Oryctolagus cuniculus: one gene and its partners. The protein of the gene in region 3 purifies or fractionates together with the protein of the main gene of each other region. This does not show direct contact. Links are inferred from orthologs where the notes say so. Each region holds a gene or a part of one and is shown on either strand. Other genes may lie near its edges.

Region 1 (3,653 bases), on a different chromosome or scaffold from region 3:
ACAGCTTGAAAACTGCTGCCCTGTGGGGTTGCCCTCTGAAGGTGCTGGATGTGATGGAAGGGTGATTGCAAATTAACATTCCTCTAATTTTGTATAATTTTGTTAAAGTAGTCATTCTGTTTATGCCACTACTGATGGTAGTACTGCCTGCCTCCAGAGTTGGTTGACATTCTGACTCTTGGATCTCCTGGGATTTAGACTATTTGGGAAGGTATCACAAAATTTCTTCCTATGTTAGTGGTGAAATGTAAGGCAAGATGGCTAGAAAGATGTTTATTTAATCAGTGAATAGATATGAAAAGTGTATAAACTATATACACGTTTTTAATATAAAGATATGCATAGATCCAGATTCCTTCCCTTTAAAACCAACTTTTTAAAAAAAAATTTATTTGAAAGTCAGAATTGTAGAGAGAGACAGATCTTCCATCCACTGGTTCAGTCCCCTAAAGTTCACAATGGCCAGTGGTGGGCCGGGCTGAAACCAAGACCAAGAACTACTTTTGGGTCTCCTACATGGGTGGCAGGGACCCAAGCACTCTGGCCATCTTCCACTGCCTTCTCAGGCACATAAGCAAGGAGCTGGGTTAGAAGTGGAACAGCTGGGACACAAACCCCCAGTGGGATGTCGACATCGTAGGTGGCAGCCCAGCCTGGTATGCCACAACACTGGCCCAGAAACTGTTTTTACTGTGCAGTGTTGGTTGGATAAACCCATGTCTTAACTGATAACCTGAAAATATTAGTTGAAAGAAGTGAGGAAACAGATTAAAGTTGATTTTGCTGTTTGACAGTTAAAAGACAAGAAATGTTACTTGTACCATGTAAGCATTATAGCTTGGTTATTGAGGCTTAAGTGCAAAAATTTATTTCTGGCATGGTTAAGTGGAGCAGTAACACCGCTCTAGTTAGCTTTGTTATAAGGGGCAGAGTTGAAATGAAATAGGTGATGCTGTGGTGTTAAGGCGCCATCTGCAGCACCAGTATCCATGTGGGTGCCAGTTCAAATACCGGCTGCTCCACTTACCCAGCTCTCTGCTAATGTGCCTGAGAAATCAGTGAAGATGGCCCAACTGTTGGGGCCCCCGCACCCACATGGGAGAACTGGATGAAGTTCCTGGCTCCTGGCTTCAGCCTGGCCCAGCCCTGGCCCTTGCGGCCGTTTAGGGAGTGAACCCGTACATGGAGGATATCTCTCTCTTTCTCCCACTGTTGTAATTCTTTCAAATAAATAAATCTTTAAAAAATACTCAATCAATTCCAGCATCCTGGCTTGCAGACTGACAGTGCATTGTAAAGATTTTAATAGAGATTTGGATTTTGTTTGGATCAGAGGAGTTGGGGGTTTGGGTAGAATCCCATTGGAGCTTGGTGAGTCGTACTGATCGTGCATGATGGGTGCTACTGAACAGACATTCTCTCTGCTACTTATTCTGGTCTTAATTTTGTTAGCATTAGTGACATTGTATAGTATATTTGTACTTTGTATTCAAGAATTGTAAAGCTTCATGGTATTATATTTTTCCAATTTTTTGCTTGTAGGATTCAGTGGTCCCAATTTAAAGGCTATTTTATTTTCAAACTGGAGAAAGTGATGGATGATTTCAGAACTTCAGCTCCTGAACCAAGAGGTCCTCCCAACCCTAATGTCGAGTATATTCCCTTTGATGAAATGAAGGAAAGAATACTGAAAATTGTCACTGGATTTAATGGGTATGCACTTAACACTCTTTCAAATATTTAAGTTTTATGAGACATCATAGATTTATCTTAAGTTTTGCCATGTCTGGTTGTTTGAAATTCATTATCAGAGTAAGTTCTGTGTCTCTAGTGACATACAGCACTTATGATTTTTAGCTTGTATGTGTTTAAAGTATTCACAGCCTTAAAAAAAAACTTAAACCATTTTATGAACTCCAGTGGCTTTCAGACTTTAAGTGGGTACAAAAGTAGAAGTGTTCATTGTCAGGAAATATTTTTATGGTTTTTTTTCCTGTATCATTTTATATTTGCTATTATAAATCAGACTTTGTATAGATTCTGTATCATTGAGAGAAGTTATATTTATTTTAAAATGGAAAATGATTTATGAAAGTATTATTTAGTAAGTTTTTATTTAGAAATTTTGGGAGGGATTTGTCTTCAACCCCCACCAACAAGTAACCATTTTTAGCTCTTTGTAAAACACTTGAAAACAACAAAAAGATACTGTGCCCTAAAATAAGAACATAGTCGTGTCTCATTCTCTCATTTAAATTATATATTTTTAGGACTTTATACTTTTAGAGTTTCCTAAGGGAAGATTTGTTTGTGAAGTATATTGTTTAGTTTGCCATTTAACGATTTGGGGTGTAGAATTGCAGTCTCGTATATTGTGAATTTGGGAATATTATCCATGAGTTAATATTTAGACAGATTTTATTTGAAGGGGTTTAAAAACAGGATTTAGATAATGTGGTTAACCCTTTGTTATTATAGTTTCTACTTGTCTGAGTTTAGGAATTTTGCTTAAAATACATCCTTAGGCTTTGGCTTCTGGTTCTATTACCAGAATACATTTTTTGGGGAGAAATTGTAGCTTTTTCCTTGAAGTCAGTCCATTATAGTGACCTGGAGGTCTAGAATGGGAAGGAGATTTGTTTTTCCTGTGTAGGGTATTGTGCTGTTGAAATTATTTAACCATATGCATATCTTTCCTTACTAATATTAGTTAAGACATTTTTTTTAAAAAGTACATTCCCAGAAGCATCCACATTCTATGTATTAGAAGCATGTTTTATAATGTTCATGAAGAAACTGAGTATGGTCCAGCTGAGACTAGATCTCTTGGGAATATTTCCAAATAGTGTACACATACATAAATCAGACTTTGACATTATGATGACTAACCTTTTATTTCAGTAAATTATAGGTGATAGGTGCCATTTAAAAATAAGAGGGTGAAACTAGGCAAAATATAACCTTTGCTTTGTAAATAATAAGCTAATTGTGAGTCTGAATTAGTAATAAGGAATATATTTTTTACATCTTTCAAATTAATTTGGAATAGATGCAGATAATGTAAGTTATTAAGTAAGTCTGAATATATATAATTTCTTAATCTGTAAATCAGGTAATTTATCTACTTTAGAGAATGATGTAAGCAGTCATTAAATGCCTAATTGCTTTTAAAAAGTTTTATCATTACACCATAAATATTTTGAACTTAAATATTTTAAATTAGATTTTTCAGGATGGCTGTTTCTGAATCAAGTTTCCTTAATCAGGCAGAATCTAAATCTTAATCAGTGAAAGATTAGTATCTTCCAGTTTAAATTTACTTTTTTGGTCTATATTATCAAATATTGGTGTGTTGAGCATGTTTGCAGTCTTTTTCAATTTTGTTTTTGTGTTTTGATTATGCATAAATTAGTTTTTAATATAAGAGGTATAGCATTTTGTTTGTTATCCAGTTTAGGGGTATTCTTTCTAGTACATCCCTCCCCCATTTGTAATAGGTTATCTTTTAAATACAAAACTGATAATTCTCATATTTTTAGAAAGGTCCCTAAATGTCATAGAAAATAAGTAGAATCATATTGTGTAGTTGTTGTATTTTCCTTTTACAAGAGCTTTGATATTTTCTCTATATCAGTATCTTTAAAATTAATGTT
Region 2 (3,653 bases), on a different chromosome or scaffold from region 3:
ATTTCATGTAAATGGGATTGTACATTATGTGATCATTTGTGACCTGCTTAGCATAATGTTTTCAAAATTGTAGCATGGGTCAGTACTTCATTTCTTTATTGTTGAGGAATATTCCATGTTTGAATATACTACATTTTATTTACTCATTAGTTGGTAGGCATTTGGGTGGATTCTGCTTTTTTGGCCATTACAAGTAATGTTCTCATTGAACAAAAGTTCTTAGGTATATACTTTTTCCTAGGTATATACTTAGGAATGGAATTTTTGGGTGATACAATAACTCTTTAACTTTTAAGAGACAGAGAGTGCTCCCATCAGCTGGATCACTCCCCAGATGTCTGCAACAACTAGGACTGGGGTAGACCAGGCCCAAGAGAAGAACCAGGAACTCAATCCAGGTCTTCCACATGGCTGGCAGGAACCCAAGAGCCAGAGCTAGGAATTCAACCCAAGCACTCCAACACAGAAAATGACCATCTTAACCACTAAGCTTGCCCCTATGTTTAACTTTTAAAAAAAATTCTTAGAAGGGGGCAGGTGAAAGCTGGGCTGGAAGTTGAGTAGCCAGGAGTCATACCAGGCATTCTGCAACAGCAGCTTAACCTGTGCCACAGCACCTCGGGGTTTACTTCTGGAGGAACTACCAGATTGTTAGTTCCAGTGGCTTGCACCATTTTACGTTCCCATCAGTAGCATATGAGGGATCTGATTTCTCTGCATCCTTGGAACACTTACTTTATTAAAGCTATCAGTATCTTATTGTGGTTCTCTTTTTATACTTTCATAAGAAAAACTTCACAAGTGTTTTAGTAGATAAGAAATAACACTTTTAAGTTTGTGATAGAATATTTTTTAAATTGTTTATTTCATTTTTTAACAGGCTAAGGAAATTTTAACAAAAGAATCCAATGTGCAAGAGGTTCGTTGTCCTGTTACCGTCTGTGGAGATGTGCATGGTCAATTCCATGACCTTATGGAACTCTTTAGAATTGGTGGGAAATCACCAGATACAAACTATCTATTCATGGGAGACTATGTGGACAGAGGTTATTACTCAGTGGAGACTGTGACTCTTCTTGTAGCATTAAAGGTATGATCAGTATAATTCAGTTTTCTTTTTTTCAAGCTGTTTTTAAACCAGGCAAAAGGCAAAAATGACAGTATTAAATGTCATCTCTACTATCTTAGGGTTAATTCAGTTTATAGCTCCTTAAAATAATAATTAGTTTTATGACTTTTATAGAGAGAGGTGAAAATAATACACTAAACTTGTCCAGTCTACTGCCATTCTTTTGGGTATTCCATAGCTGAAATCTTTGAATCATATTTGACTTAAGCACATATTCTTCATATTGAATCACTAAACAGGTCTTTATTTCTTGCCTTGAAAGTTCTGTTATTCCTAAGTTTTTATTTCATGACACAATCTAATACTTCACACTTCAATTACTGCATTAACTTGGTAACTAATATTTCTACCTGCAAGATCTCATCTTTGCAAGTCCACCTTGTATATGCTGCCAAATCAAGTCACTCTTGTATCTTACTACTTCCGTGCTCCCAAACCTACAGATACTCGTGTTGCCTAACTCAAACTCCTTGCCTGGCCCTCCATACTCTGAATTTGCCATAGTGGTCTATTTCTGAAATCTTAACCTCATACATCTCCTTCCTGAGATCAGGCCCGTAAACAGCAGACCTGGCACTGAGCTTCATAGTGCTGAGCTCAGTGTTGCATACATAGTGGATGCTTACTAAGCACGAATGTATATGAGATACATTTTTTTTTTGTCCTGTCATGGAAATGAGCCTTAAAAATCCACTTGAACCAGATTTGGCAATACTTAAGTTGAAAAAGAACAAGAACTTAGCCTCTAGAAGACTTTATCTCAGGTTCAAACTACAGCTAAACAGTAACCATTCAGCAGTGAAGAATTAATAGTATTCTGAAAAGATGTCCAAGACTAGTGATAGATAATAAAGATGATGACTGAAACAGATGCTAAGATACAAACTAAGATTCTAATGATACTCATAATGAAGGACAGTAAAATTATTTCAAAGGTTAATAAGACCTAGTTAGGAATGACAAATATTTTTACTGTGAAAAAAAATTACGTTAAATTTACTGGTGGACACAAGAACCATTTGAAGAAATGGGTTGGAAGTTAATGTGTTCAGATAACATGATATTAAAAATATTCTGTGGATTTCTTTTCCTTTGCTTCAGGTGCGTTATCCAGAACGCATTACAATATTGAGAGGAAATCATGAAAGCCGACAAATTACCCAAGTATATGGCTTTTATGATGAATGTCTACGGAAGTATGGAAATGCCAATGTGTGGAAATATTTTACAGACCTATTTGATTATCTTCCACTTACAGCTTTGGTAGATGGACAGGTATGTATCTGTGTGCTTACATCTTGCAATGGAGGGCTTACAATAGGGGGGAAATTAGACTATTAACAGGGGCTAGACTTACATGACATCTGTGTCTAGATTTCTTTGGCCTTCCTGCCTCTCTTATACTTACAATTTTATGAGCAGGCATTGTGGTGTAGCAGGTTAAGCTACCATTTGGGATGACTGCATCCTGTATTGGAAAGCCTGGTTCAAGTCCTGGCTACTCCACTTTCCTGATCCAGTTTCTTGCTAGTGCACCTAGAAGGCAGCAAATGATGGCCTCAATACTTGGGTTCCTGCTACCCGTGTGGTAACCTTGGGTGGATGGCCTTGGGGGACTGAACCTGCTGATAGGAAGATATCTCTCCTTTAAAATAAATAAACCTTAAGAAAAAAAATTTTTTTCCAGAGCAGATAATTGGATAAGTTTTTTTTTTTTTTTTTTTAAGATTTATTTTATTTATTTGAAAGAGTTACACAGAGAAGGAGAGGCAGAGAGAGAGAGTCTCCCATCCACTGGTTCACTTCCCAGATGGCCGCAACGGAGAGCTGCGCCAGTTAGATGCCAGGAGCTTCTGCCAGGTCTCCCACGTGGGTGCTGGGCCCAAGGACTTGGGCCATCCTCTGCTGCATTCCCAGGCCATAGCAGAGAGCTGGATTGGAAGAGGAGCAGCCGGGACTAGAACTGGCACCTATATGGGATGCCGGCACTTCAGGCCAGGGCTTTAACCCACTGTGCCATGGTGCCAGTTCCAGTTGGATAAGTTTTATGCATATTTAAAACATTTTCCTGTGATTCTCAGATCTTATATAAATGTGTTGGCCAAAGAACATGCTAATATACTTTAAAAATTATAAGTAAATTTTGAAGACCCCAACGTACAATACTGCTCAAGCAAGATGTTTTTTTGAAACAAGGTCCACACAGATTCAGTATCTACTAGTTACCATTAAAGTTTTTTATTCCTATTTTTATGGTAATTGTATTATGTGTCTTATACCTTCTTCCCTAAATGAATGCTTTGTTTCTACCTGTGACAAGTATTGGCACATACTCTAAAACATTCAAATGTGTAAGAAGAAATATACAAATATTCTATTATTGCTGTAAGCATGAACTTACTTTAGTTTAAATGTAAAACATGGTGATAAAACTCAATTATAAATGCGCGGTGTTGTCAAGTGTATGGTACTCTTGTACTGCTGATGTGAATGTAATTTGGTTATGACCTTCTCCAATTTTTTT
Region 3 (3,652 bases):
CCCGTCTACAGGGAGCCGGTGTCACGTGGCCGGGCAGGATGGTGAGGAGACAGCGGCATCACAGTGGCCTCTGGTGCGATGTATTTACAACAGAGCTCGATGCTGAGGGAGGGGTGGTGAGCAGGTCACTAACAGCCAGGAAACACACTGTGAAGAGCAAGAGAGGGATGAAAATGTAACCAATCACCAGCTTTCCCCTGCTTCCCCAGGCTCCTTTGGCCAACCCTCCCTAATGACCACCAAGGCCCCTGAAGATCTGTCCCACCTCCTCACAGGCCCATCTGGGACCAAATTTCTACTCTGAGTGCATGTTCCAAATAGCCCAGAGACCTCTAACACTGTTTAAAAGAAATTAGGGGAGGGTATTAGGAGAGGGTTGTAGTGTTTAAGGTGCTATTTGAGGGGAAGGCTTTGTGGTACAGTAGGTTAAGCCACTGCCTGCAATGCCCATATCCCATAAGAACACTGGTTTGAGTCCCAGCTGCTCCACTTCTGATGCAGCTCCCTGCTAACACACCTGGGACTGCAATGGAGGATGGCCCAAATACTTGAGACTCCTTCCACCAACATGGGAGACCCAGATGGAATACCAGGCTCCTTGACTTTGGTCCGGCCCAGTCCTGGCCATTGCAGCCATTGGGGGAGTGGAACCAGAGAATGAAAGATCTCTCTATCCATCTAACTCTGCCTTTCAAATAAATCAATCCTCCCCAAAAAGGATGTTATTTGAGATATGTGCATCCCGTATCACAGTACCTGGGTTCAAGTCCCAGCTCTCTCCTAATTCCAGCTTCCTGTTAATGCATGCATTGGGAGACAAGAGGTGCTAGGTGGAGTACTTGCAGTCCCTGTCACCCATGTGGGAGACCCAGTTGGAGTTCCCAGCTCTTGACTTCAGCCTGGCCCAGCTTCAGCTATTGTAGGCATTTGGGGAATGAATCAGCAAATGGGAGATCTCTGTATCTATTTTTACTAGGTTGAATTTCAAATAAGTAAAAATTTTAAAAAGAGAAACTAAGTCGTCTTTGCTGACTGTGGGCCCCATCAATGGTTAGCTGCTAGAGGAATGGTTCAACATGAGGGTGTCATTCCTATGGCTCACAGCTCCAAGCTCTTATCCTGTTGTCACTCTCGCCTCCAACTCACGGCATTCAGAGTTCTTGTTCAAACTTTCTGAAGGAGGGAACAGGTTCCCCTGAACTCTGAAAATCAGAAGGATTTCAAATGGCAGATGTGACTCATCAGACCGTGGACTTTGAGGACCCAGGGCCTTCCTCAGCACAGACAAGTAGGCTTGAGGGGGGGCAAGAACCTGCTGGGTTAACACAGAGCCCAACTGTGTCTCCCTAAGCAGCTGAAGAGCTTCCTAGGGGGAGAGGCCTGCACTCCCTGCTTCTGCAGACCAGTGGTTCTTAACTGGGAGCAGCTTTGCCTGCCTGGAGACAGCTGTGGTTTGCAGAACCATGTGTGGAAGGTGCTGCTGCTATCGAATGGGTAGAGAACAGGGACACTGCTGAACATCCTACCATGTGCAGAAGAGGCCCCGATAGCAAAACAACAACCCATCTCAAAACGGCGGCCATGCTGAGGCTGAGAAAGCTGCTCTAGGGTCCTGTGGGATCTCTGGGTCCAGCCAGCCTTGCTCAGCAGCAGGGCAGAAGGCACAGAGGCTGATTCCCATCTCAGCCTCCTCGAAAAGGGGGTACCTCAAGAAGAAATGCACATCGCGGTGAGGGGCTGGGAGACCAGGCATGATGAAATCGCACCTTAGCAACAACCCACAGGACCAGAGCACAGAGAAGTAACTAAGCACAGCTTTGCCGAAATACACATGCCAGCCTCTCTGTGGAGGAAGAGGAAGGTGACCCACATAGGCAGGGCTTTGTGAGGCAAATATCTGTTTGTTGGGTTGGGCAGCGCTCATGGAGATCTTACACCCTTGTACTTACCACTGGAACCCTCCGATGGGCTCTGCGAACCTGTGCCGGATCAAGAAAGTGGCAACAGCTTCAGCTACCTGAAAAGGGAGAGATTCCGGGCCATATGAAGGTTTGTGATGGTGCTTACCCTTGGAGTCTTGAGAGCTTCTGTTGGAAAATTAAGCTATGTAATGCCCTCCTGAGTCCCACAAGTCTGGGTAGCTTGAAACCAAAAGGACCTGGGTCCTGGCAGGGCTAGCAAACTCCCATCATCCTTCAGGGAATGCCAGCAAGCTCAAGAGGAATGGGACTTATTTATCCCCTTTGAGTTATGAAGCTCCTTTTTCCCACAGGAGTAGTTCATGTTCATTCCTATTTGTGACTAGGTTAGGGAACAGTTTCTACCCTCAACCATCCCTTCTTCCACCTGGCTTTTGGGAGCAACACAGCTTAAGATCTCAATCATAGGGCCCTGAGAGGAAATGCAAAGGACACAACAGGTCCTCAGCCCCACCCACAAAGTCAAGCCCACAGGCAGCTGCTAGAGCCATGTTTGGGAAGCTGGTGGCTGCAGGTGCCTGGATTTCCCTGCAGCTGCAGGCATCCCAGGCTAATACTCAGAGGCTTGTCCTATCTCCTGGGCCATCCAAAGTCGCTCTCACAGTTGTCCTGTCGTGAAGCACCAAACTCACCTTGTCAGGGGCATCCTCATGGACTGCATGGCCACACTGGGGCAGGACCTGCATCTGGAACTTCCCTGGAGAGGAAATAAAGCCAGGCAACCTCAGGCACTCATACCGCCCTCCCTTACTACCTCTGCAGCCTCTCAGGTCACTCCAGGAGCCCAAGATGGCCCCATTTCAACCCCAGCCCCAACTCCATACTGATTACCTACCGCCTCTTTGATGAAGATGGTAACACTGTAACCCTCAATCATTTCCCTTCACTTTTCCTTTTGTGCCTACTTAGTGTACAGTGACCTTGGGGTAAGAAACACAGAAGAGCCTGGTGTTGTGGCATAGCCAGTAAAGCAAGCACTTGTGATGCCTGTGGGCACTGGGTCTTGTCCCAGCTGCGCCACTTCCAATCCAGCTCCCTGATAATGACCTTGGGAAGGCAGCACAAGATGACCCAAGTACCTGGGCCCCTGCCACCCACATAGGAGACCCAGGTAAATCTCCTAGCACCTGGCCTTTGTGGCCATCTAGGGAGTGAACCAGCAGATGTAGGCTTGCTCACTCGCACTCACTCTCCCTCTTTCAAATAAATAAACCCTTTAAAAAAAAAAAAAGACACATAGAAGACAAATCCTCTGATCCTCAAGGAATTAACAGACCAGAAGGGAGTAAGACACAAAACCAACATTTTCATGCAGCATGTAATTCCTGTGATAAAACTGGGTAGGGTTGCAAGAGCAGAGGGAAAGAGCTTCACAATCCAGTAGGAAGCCAGAAGGCTTCCTCCATAGAAAAAATGGCCTAACACAGAAGAGAGCAGCACTGGGATGGTATTTACTGCTGGAATTAAAAGCAGCTGAGCATGCTGCTTGGGCAGGTGGTTACTTAATGGTGAGGCTGGAGAGCTAAGCCAGGACCATCTCATGAAATTTCTCAGCTGTATAAAGGATTTTGAAATTTCTTCTTAAGATAGCAAGTTACTGCTTGAGTATTTGTTTCAGGTACTGTGCTAAGTACTTCCTGACAATGTCTTAGGGGGCACTGTCAGCACACAAC

What was found.
Region 1: the proteins of PPME1 (region 3) and PPP4R2 purify together in Homo sapiens (affinity purification with mass spectrometry; 3 studies listed by BioGRID and IntAct, counting the BioPlex papers as one, with this or other methods). This does not show direct contact. The link is inferred for Oryctolagus cuniculus from reciprocal best matches to the Homo sapiens genes PPME1 and PPP4R2.
Region 2: the proteins of PPME1 (region 3) and PPP2CB purify together in Homo sapiens (affinity purification with mass spectrometry; 6 studies listed by BioGRID and IntAct, counting the BioPlex papers as one, with this or other methods). This does not show direct contact. The link is inferred for Oryctolagus cuniculus from reciprocal best matches to the Homo sapiens genes PPME1 and PPP2CB.

Annotation. Positions count from the first base shown.
Region 1 is NC_091441.1:76,202,876-76,206,528, reverse strand, and holds part of PPP4R2 (serine/threonine-protein phosphatase 4 regulatory subunit 2), read left to right. Parts: intron 1-1,542; coding exon 1,543-1,713; intron 1,714-3,653. UniProt on the Homo sapiens protein: Regulatory subunit of serine/threonine-protein phosphatase 4 (PP4). May regulate the activity of PPP4C at centrosomal microtubule organizing centers.
Region 2 is NC_091433.1:80,834,282-80,837,934, reverse strand, and holds part of PPP2CB (serine/threonine-protein phosphatase 2A catalytic subunit beta isoform), read left to right. Parts: intron 1-880; coding exon 881-1,090; intron 1,091-2,230; coding exon 2,231-2,404; intron 2,405-3,653.
Region 3 is NC_091432.1:65,501,757-65,505,408, reverse strand, and holds part of PPME1 (protein phosphatase methylesterase 1), read right to left. Parts: exon of another isoform or gene 2,677-3,652; coding exon 2,612-2,676; intron 2,018-2,611; coding exon 1,950-2,017; intron 148-1,949; coding exon 129-147; 3' UTR 1-128. UniProt on the Homo sapiens protein: Demethylates proteins that have been reversibly carboxymethylated. Demethylates PPP2CB (in vitro) and PPP2CA. Binding to PPP2CA displaces the manganese ion and inactivates the enzyme.